Linked DNA regions of Drosophila melanogaster. The protein of the gene in region 3 purifies or fractionates together with the protein of the main gene of each other region. This does not show direct contact. Each region holds a gene or a part of one and is shown on either strand. Other genes may lie near its edges. The genes, in order: ATPsyndelta, ATPsynD, sun and ATPsynF.

What was found.
Region 1: the proteins of sun (region 3) and ATPsyndelta purify together in Drosophila melanogaster (affinity purification with mass spectrometry; 2 studies listed by BioGRID, with this or other methods). This does not show direct contact.
Region 2: the proteins of sun (region 3) and ATPsynD purify together in Drosophila melanogaster (affinity purification with mass spectrometry; 2 studies listed by BioGRID, with this or other methods). This does not show direct contact.
Region 4: the proteins of sun (region 3) and ATPsynF purify together in Drosophila melanogaster (affinity purification with mass spectrometry; 2 studies listed by BioGRID, with this or other methods). This does not show direct contact.

The regions. Positions count from the first base shown.
Region 1 is NC_004354.4:10,211,173-10,217,943, reverse strand, and holds ATPsyndelta (ATP synthase, delta subunit), read right to left. Parts: upstream 4,975-6,771; 5' UTR 4,870-4,974; intron 4,664-4,869; 5' UTR 4,658-4,663; coding exon 4,459-4,657; intron 4,385-4,458; coding exon 4,173-4,384; intron 3,846-4,172; coding exon 3,783-3,845; 3' UTR 2,948-3,782; coding exon of another isoform or gene 1,823-2,947; 3' UTR 1,396-1,822; coding exon of another isoform or gene 1,390-1,395; 3' UTR 551-1,389; downstream 1-550. Other genes in the region: CG2962 (uncharacterized protein), read left to right, coding at 1,390-1,395, 1,823-2,947.
Region 2 is NT_033777.3:19,093,296-19,096,815, forward strand, and holds ATPsynD (ATP synthase, subunit D), read left to right. Parts: upstream 1-1,704; 5' UTR 1,705-1,779; intron 1,780-2,101; 5' UTR 2,102-2,113; coding exon 2,114-2,650; 3' UTR 2,651-2,976; downstream 2,977-3,520. Other genes in the region: mRpL55 (mitochondrial ribosomal protein L55), read right to left, coding at 1,144-1,290, 1,347-1,523. UniProt on the Drosophila melanogaster protein: Mitochondrial membrane ATP synthase (F(1)F(0) ATP synthase or Complex V) produces ATP from ADP in the presence of a proton gradient across the membrane which is generated by electron transport complexes of the respiratory chain.
Region 3 is NC_004354.4:15,847,345-15,850,904, forward strand, and holds sun (stunted), read right to left. Parts: upstream 1,915-3,560; 5' UTR 1,821-1,914; coding exon 1,792-1,820; intron 1,673-1,791; coding exon 1,542-1,672; intron 1,004-1,541; coding exon of another isoform or gene 990-1,003; exon of another isoform or gene 954-989; intron 661-953; coding exon 635-660; 3' UTR 515-634; downstream 1-514. Other genes in the region: UBL3 (ubiquitin like 3), read right to left, coding at 3,020-3,084, 3,202-3,366. UniProt on the Drosophila melanogaster protein: Activates the G-protein coupled receptor mth in vitro, leading to increased intracellular calcium ion levels.
Region 4 is NT_033778.4:24,598,536-24,601,342, forward strand, and holds ATPsynF (ATP synthase, subunit F), read right to left. Parts: upstream 1,287-2,807; 5' UTR 1,232-1,286; exon of another isoform or gene 1,165-1,231; 5' UTR 1,161-1,164; coding exon 1,082-1,160; intron 963-1,081; coding exon 718-962; 3' UTR 557-717; downstream 1-556. Other genes in the region: CG13587 (uncharacterized protein), read left to right, coding at 1-298, 364-556; CG3548 (uncharacterized protein), read left to right, coding at 1,513-1,850, 1,926-2,445, 2,574-2,807. UniProt on the Drosophila melanogaster protein: Mitochondrial membrane ATP synthase (F(1)F(0) ATP synthase or Complex V) produces ATP from ADP in the presence of a proton gradient across the membrane which is generated by electron transport complexes of the respiratory chain.

The DNA.
Region 1 (6,771 bases), 5.6 Mb from region 3:
GCCAAACTTGTTTCGAGATTGCAGATGCACTAATATAGATATTTATGTATGTATGTATGTAGTTTCTCAACAGATGCATTCCATGCATGGATCAATTAACAAACCATAATAGACCGCGACAAGATCATAATCACGATTAGTGGCAGAGTGCAGGTTAGCCAACCATTTCTTGGATATTACTTGATTTCCCACCAATCTGATCTGCCCACTGAAAATCTCTTTTTTTTTTGGTATAAATTAATACGTTTCTTAACCGAAAAGCATAACCAATTTGAACAATTTGATAGTATTTTATAAAATTGTTATAAACTGAGTAGAAATATGATTCTAAATGGATATATATATATATGCACATCAGTTGATTATGTTGAATATTTGTGTAAATAAACATATGTTTATTGTTGTAAGTATGTAATACTTAGTGGCTATTTAAAATGCGCCAACAGATATCACTGATCCGAACCGTTGGCCAATTTTACAACATCTTTGGCCTATTGGGCCAACATAATGCGTTTTACATGGCTCGAAGATGCGACTGGTGGCTTGCATAATAATCGGCTCGTTTTATAAATACCTGCATATAGATGGAATATAGCCACCATCAATGAGATGGTTCGGCTTGACAACAGATTCCGATTCAGATTCACCTTGAAATTGCCGGATGAGGTGAAATGGAATGGGTTGGTTTGGTTTCGATTGGATTGGATTGGGTTGGGTTGGGTTAGGTTTTCGCTTTGGTTTATGACAGACTGCCGGCCGCCTTGTGAGGCAACCGCTTTGCAGCACGCCCGTGTATGCAAATTGAATTGACCAAAATCCAAAATCCAAATCGAAATCAAAATCAAAATGAAAACGAAAACCTAAACCATAAAACATAAGATGCCGAATAAAAAAAAAAATACGAAATATGAAAGCCCCATTCCGAGCTTATCACTAACGTAGCGTCTCATTTTCATGCTAATTGTGGGATCCCCATTCGGAATTTGGGAAATGCAGCGTAAGACTTGATGAAACTGAAACTGGTAGCTGGTAGCTGGTAGCTGGTAGCTGGTAGCTGGTAGCTGGTAGCTCCGAATCCAACTGGCTATGGAAGAACCAACCACGACGATTGGCACTTTTGGGTGCGTCCAGCAGCATTTGGTGAAAATCGAAATGAAAACGAAAGCCCATCATCATGATGCTGCTCATCATCGTGGCGATGATGATGATGGCGTTGATGGGCAGTTTGGAAATGTTAATGAAACGCCTTTTGTTCGCCCTTGCTGGCTTATATCGTATAAAAGACTTGGTCTCCAATCGATCGGACATCAGTCGCTTGCTCATCGGCACTCAAGGCGTTTTTTTTTTTTTGGAATTGGTATCATCGCATCAAGTGGATTAGTAGTCAGCATGAAGGTGAGCTGCTCACAATGTCCTGTGCCGGCAAATATCCTCTTCTAGTTTTTTTTTTTTTATTTATCCAAACTGATTTGAAAAGTGACAAAGTGGCAAGAGCATCCTGAGCTCAGTTTAAATTCTTTCGAACTTTCGAAGAAGTGATAGTTAATATTCAAATACAAAGTGTGCTGAAGAATATCAGAAGATTGAAAATGAAAATATTTAAACAAAGAATGAATACAAAGTATATCCATTTGGAAAATACAGTCTATGAAGATCAAAGATCCTTTAAAGATATAGAAAAAAAAACCAGCGATAAAACTCTACTTTCTAATTGGAAAACATAACAAAAACTTAATGAACTTTATATATTCTTTAAAATCCTCTAAGGATGCAACATGAAACATGAAACTAAATCGCTTCTTATACTCTGCCATCCTTCCAGGTCTTCGTTTGCATGTGTGCTCTGTTCGCTGTGGCCAACGCTGGCTTCCTGGGACTCCTCGGCGGTGGCGGCGGTGGAGGCGGTGGTGGCGGCCTTAACCTCGGAGGCGGTGGTGGCAACGGAGGCGGCGGCGGTGGTAGTGGCGCTCGCGGCTATGGCGGCCATGGACCCAGTGGCCCAGTCCAGGTGGTCAAGGTGATCCATCAGCAGGGCGGCGTTGGCTACTCCTCCGGCGCTAGCTATGGCAGCGGCTATGGCTACGAGGCGGCTCCCCAGATCTTCAAGGTGAAGGTCATCTCTGGCGGCAGCGGCGGTGGCTATGGACCCGCTCCTGGACCCGCTTATCTGCCTCCAGCTGGGCCCGCCCCCTCCTCCGTCAAGGTGATCAAGATCCTGCAGGAATCCGCACCCATTGTGAGTGCCCCGCTGGTCGAGAGCGCTCCGCAGATTGTCAAGGTGGTGAATGTGGCATCTGGACCCGTGGCTGGACCATCCTTCATCGGCGGCTCTTCGGTTGGCGGCGGTGCCGTGTCCCAGGTCATCAAGGTCGTTCACGAGAGCCACGACAGCGGCATCTCGTCGGGTGGCTACTCGTCGGGTGGCTACTCCTCCGGTGGTTACTCTTCGGGTGGAGCCACCAAGGTGGTGCGTGTGATCCATGAGCACTCCGCTCCAGCTGCCGGTCCAGCCTATGCCCCCATCGATGTGCCCGCACCAGTGGCTGCTCCAGTCGCTTCCTACCTGCCTCCTCAGGAGATCGCTGCTCCGGCTCCAGTTTATGCTGCTCCAGCTCCGGCTCCAGTTTATGCTGCTCCTGCTCCCGCTCCTGTGTACTCCGCACCTGCTCCCGCTCCAGTGTACTCCGCTCCTGCCCCAGCTCCTGTGTACTCTGCTCCTGCTCCCGCTCCAGTGTACTCCGCACCTGCTCCCGCTCCAGCTTACTCCGCTCCTGCTCCCGCTCCAGTTTACTCCGCTCCTGCCCCAGCTCCAGTCTATGCCGCCCCAGCACCCGCTCCCGTCCTGAGTGTGCCACATCCCGCTCCTGCACCCGTTTTTGCTCCCGAGGAGCAGTCCCTGCCCATCGGTCACGCCCCTGCCCAGACCTACGGCCCACCGGGATACTAGAACAATTCGCCAATCTATCGGAGGACCTTCCTGCTAACTACATCGACAGCATATTACCATTCCCACACAACGCCATGAGTTAATTTAAGACATTTTTTTTACAACACATTTTTTTGTTACCAAATACATAGACAATTCCAAAAAAAAAAAATCCAATTTTCTTTTTTCAATTCTATAGTATTTATCATCTTTATAAAGAGTTTCAAAATGGATTATCTTCTATCTGCCAAAAGTATAATTTTAGCCATTGATTAATTCTTGTTTCCATAAAAAAAAAACAAAGTTGCTTTTTATTACTACTTTTGAGAGAAATTTAAACAATCATCCGAGATAAGATATGCGAACTATCCATGAATGCAACACACCAGATGAAATACAAACTATACTATTTGTTAAGATGAAAGACGAGCTCATTTACAAATTGTAAGTTTTTATGCTTATGCGATTTGCATAAATTGGCAAGGGAAAAAGAAACGACGTTCGTCTCTTTCGGCCAAAATGCAAATCACTCATATTTTTGACTTAAAGATTGCCAAAGCATTATCATATCAACGGTCTATCCCACAGCGAGCAAATATTACACATTTCTCTTCACCAGCTCACATACATATATTATAAACTATATAAACACACAGTTTAGCGGCATAACATGAAAAAAAAAAGAAAAAAAAATCATTTGCCTGGTGGATCACGGGTCATTAATACGATATTATGATTCGCTTTTTTATTGTTTCATAACTCTCTGGCTTTTTAAGGTGATCGTTATGTTTTTTATTTATTTCAGACACAAAGCATCGATTGTGGTTTATTGGTGGCGGTTGTGTGGTGATTACGTCTATTCGGCAGCCTTGACTAACGCTTCGGCGACCTCCACGGCAATGGCAGCCTGGGCCTTGGCCTGCAAAACAAGGATCGTGGTTAAGTCTCGTTTAGATAGCTTCAGAATGTGCAATACAGAATGCAAAAGCAACTCAAACATAAGTTTACTCATGGAAATATCGAATGTGTAAGCGTTAATTTAAGAGCAAACTTGTTTGTACAAAGAAAGTATATCAAGTAAAAAGGATGGGCACATAGAAATCGTTTAGTAACTTAAATGCCAGTTGGCGTGAATGGTGGAAGCAGTGTTTCCATCAAAAGAGTCTGTTTGAGTTGTACTTTCTGGACCACTACTTCTACTTTCTAGACACTACTCTACTATGCAACTTCTTGACTAGATTCGCACCTTGTCGTCGCCAGCGGAGCTAAGCTGTGACTGGTATTTCGCGAGCAGCTGGCGCGCCTCATTGGCATCGATGTCCTCGATGTTGTGGGCCTCCTCGGCCAGAACCTGAACGGAGGAATCCTCGTTGACGGTGACGGAACCGCTGGAGACGAAGAACTTGAGGGTCTTGCCATCGTTTTCCACCACCTGGACAACGCCGGGCTTCAGGACAGCTGCAATAGCAAAGAGATTCGCCAACGGTGATATAACCATCTCGAGGCAACTGAAACTGAATGATCGAACTTACCCAGAGTGGGCACGTGCTTGGCCAGGATGCCGAAGGATCCCGAGAAGGAAGGCACATCGATTTGGCGCACCACAGCGGCATCGTAGAAGGTTTTGTTGGCGGCGGCGAAGGTCAGCTTCATCTCATCCGAGTAGCTGCGGTTCTGGGCCAAGCGAGCGCCGCGGGCGGCCAGCAAACGGGCGTTCTTAACGAAGGACATTTTGGGCTGCAACGAGAGGATAAATTCAGGATTAAAAGTCTTTTCTGCCACAGCCAGCCAGCATAACAACAAAATAACCAAATTATGTAACTTTGTAGGTTAGGCGGCGGCTGCTATTGCGTTTCCCCAGCTCAAATTTCGATCGCTTTTCATTGCAAATCCTCGGGCACTGTGATCAGTGGACTACCCCTCAATTTATCAGTTATTTTCACCTGTTTTTATTTCGGTTTGATAGCGAAAAACACGAGAAAACTTCAGTGATCAGCCGCTGTTTTTGCGAAAAACGTTTAAGTCAGAGTGACCAGCCGGGAATACAAAACTTATCTAGCAATAACGCGTTTTTACGATATTTAGAGGACAAGACAAAATACAAAATTTTCAATACGCAACAGGCTCTTACAAAATAAAAAGTGCAATCATTTCACACATAATAATTAAGTGTTTTAATTATAATAATAAAGTGCCTCAATCAATAAACAAATTATATAGACCAATAAACTTTTAGTGGCAACACTTATTCTTTTAATTCATTAGTCTGGCATCGCCAATTAAAAGCTTAAATTTTTTGTATATTGCTTTTGATCGTACATTAAAAATGATATTAAAAGAAAAACTATTTATTCCAAAAATTATAATTTAAAAAATGAAATTTCCTTTATTAGATTAAGACTTTGATTAATAACGGTGTGTTTACATGGCATAACCATGCGACCATTTATACTGTTATGAATCTGGTGTTTTTGATTTTGTTTAGTTTCTTTTTCAGTATTTCCTTTTTTATTAGATCCTTTTATTAAAGTTCGGAGTTTTTTCGTATCTCACGAATCTTTTACCCGCGCAACATTCAAAACTGGCGTTAGCGACTATTTTTAGCCACCGCGCTACCTGGTCACACTGGCACAGGCAGCACAACAACAAATTCCAATTGGAAATAGAAACGAAACAATGCAGATTGCTGCATTATTATACAAGTGAAGAAGAAGAGAGTGCCATTTTCGGCTGCTATTTGTGCACGTCTCTGTGACTGTGTGTGAGTGTGTGCGTGTCGCGTGTGTGCTCTGCGCTGAGGTGTTTGTTGGCGAACGACAGCGAAAGGCGACAAGCAAACAAACAAACAAACAAAACACACAGGACGTAAGTGCTTGCAACATTTACCCAAGTTTGTCACCCACTCGCGCCCTCTCTGTCGCACCTGCAGGCGAAACGCAGTTGCGAAAAACAACAGTGTTTCCCCATGTTTGTGTTTGTGTGCATAGATAGCTGTCTATATATTTTTCGCTCTGCTTATTTTCTATTTTGTTTTGTTATATCTTCTATTTTGCTTGGCTCTTCGTGTATGTGTATAGGTGTCTTAGCAAATTGCGCCTTTCAGTTGGAAAAACTCTGCAAAAAATAGAAACAGAAAGCTTGCCTTAAAGTTCATTCCTCACACACACAGCTGACTTTGTTGTGGAAAAAGGGTGTGAAGAAGAGAAGGATTTTCTGCTTTTTGTTTGTTGCACACATACAGGCCCGCATACACATGTGAACGAGCAGCTGTAGCGCGCATGTGTATGTGTTTGTGTATTTTTGTTTACCTCTCTCTCCGCCGTCACACTCTCACTCACTCTCTTCTCCGCTGTCTTGCCCTCTGCCTGCGTCGCGGTCGCCAGTGGCGTCGCAACGCAATATATTTCATGTTATTTCTGATAAGAGAACTAACCGCAATCGGTCTATATAAACATATATACAACAGATCCGATCCTTAGCTATTGACCCCAAGCTATAGCGGTGCGAGCGGAACGGCAACATCGCAAAGAAGCAGCGGCATAAGACAACAACAATGTTGGGTCGTTGCTCCTCTTTTTGCTTCTTCGCTTTCATCTTCTGCTCCTTTTGTTTTTTGTTACGGTACTTTTAGATACTTCGAAAAGTGTATACCCTTCGTACTATCTGATTCAGGCAAAATTATATGTAGGTTTTCTTGTCATCCGATCTTTATGATTAGTTGTCAATCTCAACTAATTAAGAATAAAACAAATAATTAAAAACCCATAATAATTCTCAAAAGTAATGTTCAGCTTAGTGAAGTAAATGACATTCTACTTGCGTTTTAAAATTTGTTTTCTAATTAG
Region 2 (3,520 bases), on a different chromosome or scaffold from region 3:
TAGACACATTATTTACGCATTATGTTTTATTATATTTAAGACAAAATACAATCAACGTAAGTTAAAATATAAGATTGCAAACCTATTTACCCTCAATTCTAAATGTTTAAATATACAATAGTACATGACAATTTTGCATTTCCCGTTACGAAATTATATTTGTGTTTTTATCTCGGTAGAACCTTGAAAACCATGTTGTGTCAAGATGCAGCGAAAGCAGCGGGTGGCAACTTTTGGCAGGCAGTGTGCGAAAGCTAAGGTCAGGCCCATCTCTAGGTTGCTTCCGCACACAGACACGCACGCACACAGCGATGGGGAAATGCCAACGATAGCACAGGTCTAATCCATTTAATTCTGGCTTTTAACCGATTTCTGCTAATACTATTTATTTACCCGTTTGGTTTTGGCGACTGCTCTCTCTCTCTCCCTCCGTTCTTATTGCCGTGTGGCCATAATCCAATTATGCTTGTGTTTGTGTGTATGTGTCTGCTCTCTATTGCAATTGCAGTTATTCGCATCCGCCGTGATATGCAACCAACACATTCGCACTCGCGCACTCACACGCACCCGCAGACATCACAAATGCGAGGACCGAAAATCCTGAGCGTCAACAAAATAAATATAGCTCTGGTGTTTTAAAATAGGTTTTCACTCGATTCTGCGTTTGCTGTCTCGTCTTGTTTATGTGCATTCGTCGTTGGTTGTGTGTACTTGTTTTTTTTTTTTTTTGTTAGACGCGACTGTCCATTCAACATTACCACTCAGCCGACGCAGAGCGAGATTATAATTCGGTAACCGATTCACTGGCACTGCTCTAACGGGCTATAGCCTATGATCCAGTCTGGAATGGAGCTAAAGATATGTTGCTTTCATTTATGTCTGCACTCGCGAAAAAGCGTCCACAAATTAACAGTTCTTCGGGAGCGACGCGCAGCTAGACGTCCGACTTTGTTTTCCGACTCGATTAGAGTGACCGTTGTGGGATGGTGGAAAAAAGTGGAGGGCCCATGCTGAAACCGATAACAAAAATACCAGATGTGCGATATACACTATCGATAACGAGCACAATTTCTTAATTCTAATTTAAAACAATTATATAACGGGCTTTCGTGTTTTATTTAACAAATAGTGAATAAAATGCGGCTACTTCTTTTTGATGTACTTCATGTACTTCTTGGCGTTGAAGTTGTCCTCCACCTCCTCCATGATCTTGACCTTCTTGCGCGGCTTGCGGGCCTCCAATCTCGCTCTGCGCTCCGCATCGGTTAAGGTGCTCAGATCCAAGGGAAGCTAGTAGATGGTACTCGTTAATTATGGTTTCGTTAAGTTATAGTAACTAACGTTACCTTGATAATCTTCCTGGGCTCGTGATAGCGGATGTTTATCGTGGATCCATCGGGTTGCACCACAACTGTGGGATATAGCCGGCAGTAAACCGAGCGATGCAGCCTGGTAACCGCCGTCGTGGCCGATGAGATGCAGCGTATCTGCTGAACAGCCTGGGGCAACTGTTTCAGCAACATTTTAATTGATAATCACAATATTTACACTAAATAAGAGCTACACTTAAATCGTGTTTTTGCTGCCAGGCAGCTGATAGTGTGACCGACCCGAGGGTAAGATTTAAAGACTCCTAAATTAGTTATTAAGAATCTGTGGTAGCCCTGGTTCAGTTTCCACATTATGTGGTATTTTCCCCAGCTCTGGTCACATTCGTACTCAAAGTGTAAGTGTTGGTTGCAGAGGCAGAAATTCTTATTTTTCTCCTTGAAAATATAAGTACGTTACGTTAAACACTGCAAAAATAATAAAAAAAAAGCGCACGGTTGGGCTACAACAGCGATTAGTCTGCAAGCCTCGAGGAAAGGACTGCAAACGCGTTTTTAGTTTGAAGGAACATTGAGGATTGAAAAAAATTACATAATTTTTGCGAGCATAACTCGCCGTGCATTATGTCGATAAGTCTGCAACTAAAGAAGCAGAGATTACATTTCAACTAATAAGAATATCGCTGCACAGTTCCAGGACACCTAGAAATCACTTACCACCTCTATAAACCCAAAAACCTAACCTCATCCCCGCTTTTGTTGTTGTCTTGCAGTATCTGTGCAGAATGGCCGCCCGCCGTATCGCCCAATCCTCGATCAACTGGTCCGCTCTCGCCGAGCGCGTGCCCGCCAACCAGAAGAGCAGCTTCGGCGCCTTCAAGACCAAGTCGGACATCTATGTGCGCGCCGTGCTGGCCAATCCCGAGTGCCCACCCCAGATCGATTGGGCCAACTACAAGAAGCTTGTGCCAGTGGCCGGACTCGTCGATAGCTTCCAGAAGCAGTACGAAGCCCTGAAGGTGCCCTATCCCCAGGACAAGGTGTCGTCCCAGGTGGATGCCGAGATCAAGGCGTCGCAGAGCGAAATCGATGCCTACAAGAAGGCCTCGGAGCAGCGCATTCAGAACTACCAAAAGGAGATCGCCCATCTCAAGTCTCTGCTGCCCTACGACCAGATGACCATGGAGGACTACCGCGACGCATTCCCCGATAGCGCACTCGATCCCCTCAACAAGCCCACCTTCTGGCCCCACACTCCCGAGGAGCAGGTCGGCTACAAGTCCAAGGAGCAGCTGGAGGCCGAAGCCCAGGGACACCACTAAACCGGAGCGCACGAGGAGCACTCTGACACTGGCTTCGTTGGTCGTCTGTTCGATTCGAAATGTAATCCGCGTTGAAGTAAATTACCCAAATTAAATTCATTTCAAATGACAGTTACGGTATCTAATTTGCATTTGTTGTCTATGTGACATCTTGTTGGATGGATATGCATAAAGAAAATGGGATCCTTAAATCAAAATAATGAAATAAATTGAGAAAACAATCAATTTGACAGCCCAATGCACTGGAAATGATAGCCGGTCCTTGCAGTTTTATAAGCTAATAGATAAAAATCAAATGCACAAATAAATAAATAAGCAAATTGGCTACAATTCAAACTTAAACTTAAACAAAAATTAAAATTACTAATCGGCACCAATGGTGGTGCTAGACTCCGCTAAATGCGGATGTTGTACTTGCTAAATGAAACTAAAGCTCCCTCTTGTGGGCGGTGGCAAATAAATTCCCAGAGATGTCGGTTTCTGGGAATGAAAAGCACTTCCTGATTTCTAAAAAATTTAATAATTCCGAAAGTACTTTATATTGAAATTTAATGTGCGTCAAATTAGCGTCGATGAGTTAGAGGCGGCACAGTAAGTGGGAATTCCTGCTCCTTATTGCCACACCGCTGGATTTTAATACTTTTAAACCTCTACCTTGGTTTGTGTCCGCACTACAGGCAGTATATTCTAACTGGATTTTCCCGATCGCCTTAGTATATTTTTCAAATGTTTATTGGTTGAAAGACTGAGCACTGCTAGCATTTATTTTGAGAGAATTCAAGCAGTGCCATCTTGTTTGGCTCTCCGAAAGCCGTTAAAAGCTTCAGTCGCCGCTCAAATCTCGTTTCTCTCGCCATCTCGCTCCAACTC
Region 3 (3,560 bases):
TTGAAGGATCGCACCCGATGACATAGGAAACGCAAGTACACGACATCATCAACACACAAATCAACATGCTGCAATTGAAATAGCACTTCGGTAGCAATTTAATCGGTCTTAGTGGTAGCAAATCGATAATTTTTGAAGGATAATCCAAAATACTCTACCTTAAAAATATATATATATATATATTTAAATTAAAATATAAACTAACTGGATAATAATTAACATAAATAATGTCTATATGTGTATATTTAAAGCGCAAAATATAAGTAACAATTCAATTGGTTCAGCATTATGTGTATAAAATCATTCTATACAAATATGCGTTGACAAAATTATAGCAAGAAACCTATCACTGATCCCAATTAAAAGGCTTCTGGTGAACCTGACCAATAGTTCTTTTCAAAATTACAATATTCTATTGAGTCTATATTTAAATCTTTGCTAGAAGTCCGTTTCATCGGTCGCGATCTCTAAACGGAACGCCCAAATAAATGCCACATTTAAGAACAATTAAAATCATCGTGTTTAAATAAATTACATTTATTTAATTTTATTTATTTTTCATGATTTTACAACATTGCAGCTTCGGCGGATCTTAGTTGTTGCGAATCATTCTCGAGTGGCCACTGAAAAGCATCTAGGATTCCGATTGGGTTTGACGCTCTGCGGACAGAAAAATGGCAATAATCAGCATTTGCTTTGGATAATAGTTTTTCATCACAAAGAAATAGTTAATAGTTGGTCGCTTGTAAACTTTTGGGGCGGGCAATTTTGGGATATATATATGTATATTAATATAAACATTATATTATATGTAAACACATCGCATTTGCATGCAGATCAGCTTGTAAGCGTAGTTAGAAACTTTGGGAACAAAGTTAGATACATAAACTGTCGTTGAGTTTAATGCGAACGCTGGGATAATTTGGGTTTTGTCTGCCGCGGCAGGCACTTACGCCAGTTTTTAAATTATTAATTTGACGATGGAACACCTAAGCCCTTTCATCTGAAAAATATATTCAAATATGACGCAATATGAAACATAAATTCTATTACTTTATGGAGCGTTTGTCTTGAAGGAATGGTAAGCAATTTTGCCTAATTTTGTTTCGATATTCCAATAAGTTACGAAAATTTTGAAATTAAAGTTTTAGAAATGGTTTGGATGAGTATGAACGCTTCAATGTTGATGATCAGGATTTAAACAGATTGCAAATATATATGATATATGCAATAATATACGAATATCTATAGATGGGAACAGTTTTTACACGCGATATTACGCCTGTAAATTGGCAACATTTTCGGAGTAAAGTGGGAACACGAGTGAACCGTTCATTTTTCGGTATTTTTCACATTGCCATTTCGAAACGGGGCTTTTTTCCGAAACTTTTGGGTAGAATACCGTGTGGAAACCACTTGTGGATGACTTCGAAACATTCCTAATAACACATTGATAACGGTTTCCCCTTGGATTTCGAATTATCCGGAGTTAATTTATATAATGGCTGCTATTTGGCCGTCTAAAGTATTATGATACGTACGAGCTGGCTTGCCATTTGCCCAGGGAGTGAACTTCACATGGCTCGCGTCGCGCTTGGCGGCATCCGCACGCAGTCCCGTCTTCAAGGACTCGCGCAAAATGCGAGCGGCGATGTTGGAGTATTGGATGTAGCTGCAATCGGTAATATTTGGATTAATTATGTTATGTAATCGGGCAGCAAAGGCGTTTTTATTTGCATGAGAATGCTGCCACAACACAGCTGGTGTGGCAGGCACTTATACAATGCTTACGTAATTCCGGCAGCTCTCCAGGCAGTCATTGTGATCGGTTTATTCGAAATATATTCACGCTACACAAAAAATATATAAGATATTCCCTTTCTGAATCCGGTCAGTGTGGCCAACTAGTTTTTGAGAGTTAAGTCAGAAATATACCGTCGATTGTCGCACATATACCTTAAATACTAGCTTACGCGCGTCAAGATAGCGACGACGACTGTGACTTCTGTTATTGAACATACACACTGTTAGTAACATTTGTTATCGATATCCAAACTCAAACTTTTCAATATTTAAAAATCTAATTTACTTATTTTTCTTCCTTTGGGAAAAACCCTAATAAATATGGATATGCCAAACTGTTTTATTCGAAAGAACGAAGCTTGTTACTTATTCATGCCTACACAAATAATTAAGCAGACATTGTTTAACGTGCCTTGCATAAAGCATTTCAAGAAAAATTGTTACATTAAACCATCAACTTAAAAAAAATATTCCCCAATTTTCCTTGAAATTTGTTTTTAGTTCTAGGCTAATTAATCAAATAACCACCAATGCACCCAAAATAGGATAAGCTAAGGATATATTAGATTATTTATTTATCATTGACTTTAAGTTAGACTTTACAGATAATATTTTAAAACTTAACAGAAGAAAACACTTAAGTTCTAATTAAATGTGTATATATACAGAACAAAAATTTCTTTAATATTCTTTAACGCATTAAAGAATCGATCTGACAAGTAATTGCTGATTTTATTTAGTTTTTCGGTAGACGCACACTTAAAAGCAGAACGCAATGGGAAAATTACTTATTCTTGCACATAATTAGTTTTCAATATTTTCGACATATTTGAAATAAGTGTTGTAATTACCCATTCTCTAATTAGGTTAACAAGTCCGGTTTCTAAAAGCAATTAGCATTGTATTCGTATATTACATGTTATAAATATGCAGTCTAGCAACTTTAATACAGAGTATACGCATTTTGCACATGCTCATGAATTCCTGTGTGGTATATATATAAAATATATATTGTATGTACATTAATAGTTGAAACAAAGCGCCTTGTTGATCCAGACATACATTATTATAGTTTAATAAATATACTTCTGACTGCACAAAAATGTAATTTATACATTCATATTTGTTTTTATTTCGGTTGTGGGTGTTTTTTTTTTTTTCTTTTTTCTTTTAATGCAAATTAGTTTAAATATTACGCTATTATATAATAATTTAGTTACAAAATAGAGCAATTTGTCGAACAGCATCGTCCAGAACCGCCTTTACTATTTTGTCTTTGATCTAAAAGAGGAGGAAAATTCAGTAAGATGTTTTTCGTATGCATTGCGAATTTAAATTTGAGCAGCTCTTTATAATTGAAACCATATTTCTTTTTTTTTTTTTTTTTTGAAAACCTACCTTGTGAATTGGGCTCTGGCAAATTATCACGTGGCACTAAATGCATAACAGTCGTTTTGCCTAATGGAAGTCCCAGTGCTCCTAAGGTTACATTGCAATGAAGAAAACGACCTTGATAAATTAAGCGCAAGATTTCGGCTTTCGACACAGTTTCGTGGGTCCAATCTGCAAGATATATGCACAATAATGTATTACATGGGTTTTCGCATCAAAAGTCTAACTCTAAAAGCAAAACAACTAAGAAAGAATTGATTTTAGAGGCCAACAAGCTGACAATATTTAAACAAACTTCAAAAGTCGCATTTATTTGAAATATCCAATAGATGCCATAAATATTAAATATTTCGTGGGTTGTATCC
Region 4 (2,807 bases), on a different chromosome or scaffold from region 3:
TGTATACTCAGCCTAGTGCCTACTTGAATGCCTCACTGACCTGTTCAAACTCCTCGGAGTTCACTGGTAGTCTGGCCCACATCGCATCCGAACACAGAACCAGTTTATTGGCCCAATGGCTAGTGGAATTCAACAGGAAATCACAGTCTCTGGCAGAAGGTAATGTCTATCTGGCCTATGTGGGTTTGGCCTACAACAGCTCAACGTCATTGAGCCCACTGGACTTCAGGAACTCCCAAGGGGAGAGCTTGCAGTGCTTTCTTTACAGAGCCTGGGATGGTGGTCATCCTCGAGTTGGGTAGGCTGACAGTTTATTAGGTTAGCCGCCAATGCTATCTTCTCTAAATCTAACCGAATTTGCAGTGGTGATCTGGGCAACGCCAGCTGCGTGGCCTTGACGCCGCAGGGAACCTGGCAAACCCTGAACTGCGACCGGGAGCTGCCCTTTATCTGCGAAATCCACACGGCCCGGTCAACTTTCGGCTGGGAGCAGTCCAGTTCCGAGCTGGACATCGGCCCAAATGCAGTCTTCGAGTGCGGAAGAGACCGAGTCTGAGTCTATGGCAGCATGGATATTCGCAGCCGTTTTATTCACTTAAGCAGTTTTCAAAACACAAAAGCCAAATAGATATAGTTTAGTGGTGATTGCCCGCCTCTCGCACGCCTTGTGGAAAGTGTAGAATCTGTTGCAGATGCAGGACCACCGGGCAGCGCCGCTTAGTGGTACTTGTAGTTCCTGTGGTGCTTCAACTTGGTGTAGTTAATCAGATAGAAGAACGTCATGCTGGCGACGGTCAGCTGGAAGAAGGGAGCGATCCCGGCGCGCTTTGGGAACACGTACTTGTGCTGCCAGCGCCACCAGGCACGGCTCACAGCTCCGGCCACAGCGTTGGGGGTCTTGTTGCGGCGTCCCAGCCAGGCGCCGATCTCGCCCAGCTTGACCTGGCCGAAGGGCACATCGGCTGCGGATCGGAGAGAGCGGAGAGGTCGGAAAGTTGTTTAAATTATGTAAAACGCTGCACATTTTTGGGCAGTGCAAATGTGCTCTGTGCCTGCCGCAAAAATTACGTAACCTGCTCACCTTTGCCGTAGAAGCGAGCGGGGTCGTAGGGCCCGTGCACCTTGGGGTTGTACTCAGCTGGATAGTCACCGAATGCCATCGCGCTGGTTTGGTTGAGATATATTCTTAAATCGGATTCTTATGAAACATAAAATTACGCCTGCTACTTACTTCCTTCGATACTGACAGTATGACCAAAGCGGCGAGAGCTGGGATTTTCATCGACCAATATACCGAAATATACTATGTGCGAATTTATTGTGTGCGTCTCCGCTAACAGGGAGGATGTATTCGCTACGTCATCGATACAGCGAATATATCGATGCCCGATGCACGATGCACTTCTCACATCACTAAGCTCCAGTATATACAGAAATCAAATAGGATTTTTGCAAGCCTGGGCATTCGAATCAGAATCCAGCCAAAGCGAATCCAGTGTGTAAACAAAAACAATGAAACTGGAGGAGTTGCTGACCAAGGGAGCCTCCTCTCCGCCGGAGGACGACGACGAGGACGAGAAGGTGGAGCTGAAGCCGCAGAAGTCAAGCAGCGCCACCGCGGACGAGGGGGCGGAGAACGCGGAGGATGCGGCCGAGGATGCTGGCGAGAAGGAAGGCGCGGGTGGCAAGAAGAAGGGCACGCGCAAGAAACGCTCCCTTAACTGGGAGGAGGCGGAAAGGGGGCTGCTCCTTGAGGTCATCAAGTCCAAGGTGGCCTTCGTGGAGAACCGGAGCGTGGACGCCAAGAGCATAAAGGCCAAGCGTCTGGCCTGGTCGCAGATCACCAAGCAGTAAGTTGCGCCATTGGGCAGTGGAGCTCGTCTTATAATGGCCCTTCACTCCTTCCATTCCAACCCCCCATCCAGGTTCAATGCCCTTAACTTCCGCCATCGCCTGCTGGAGCAGATCCAGGTGCAGTGGCGCAGCATGAAGAACTCCGCCAAGCGGGAGCACCAGCAGAAGCATCCGAAAACGGAGGCCCTGGAAGGCATGCGGATGATCGAGTTCCTGGAGGAGATGCAGAAGGATCCGGTCACCTCGCGCAGTCAGACACGCAGCGCGAACACAAACGGCGCTCTTAAGAAGGAGCTCATGGACATCGACGAGGACGAAGACATGCCGCTGGCCGCTCTGCCCAACTCTACGAACGCCAGCGAGGACACGCTGCAGACCTCCACAATAGCCATCCCCTCGCCGCCGCCCTCCACTGCTGGCGGAGACGGGGACTCCCAGCAGGAGGGAAATCCCGCCCAGCTGCCAGCCCAGCGACGCAAGCGGACCAAGGCCAAGCAGTCGCCCTCGGGCGCCAAGACAGAAACGTCCGGCGAAACGGGGGAGGAGAACGAAAAGGGCGTAGGCCCACCACGAAAGCGGCGACAAAGGAATGTGAGTTTGAACACAAGCCGCAAGTTTATTTATTATTATTAATTAAGGTTTAGCTGAACAAGTTGCAAATTTTTGTGAAGGGGAATCTTAATCTTTCTTACTAATAATACTATCTCATCGTTAACCAGCTCTCACAGGCCCAGTCGCTGCTGTCCGACGAGAACGAAGCCTCCACCAACGCAGCTCCGAGCGCCACCCCAGTTGCAGACACAAATAGCCAGTCCTTAGATTTGGTCGCCGCCACGGAGATAGAGCAGAAGTACAAGCAGGACCTGTTTAGGCTGCTCAAGCAGGCCCGTCTGGCCGAAATCGACTACGCCCGGCGGGAACACGAGCAGAAGCTGCGCTTCGAGCAGATGGAG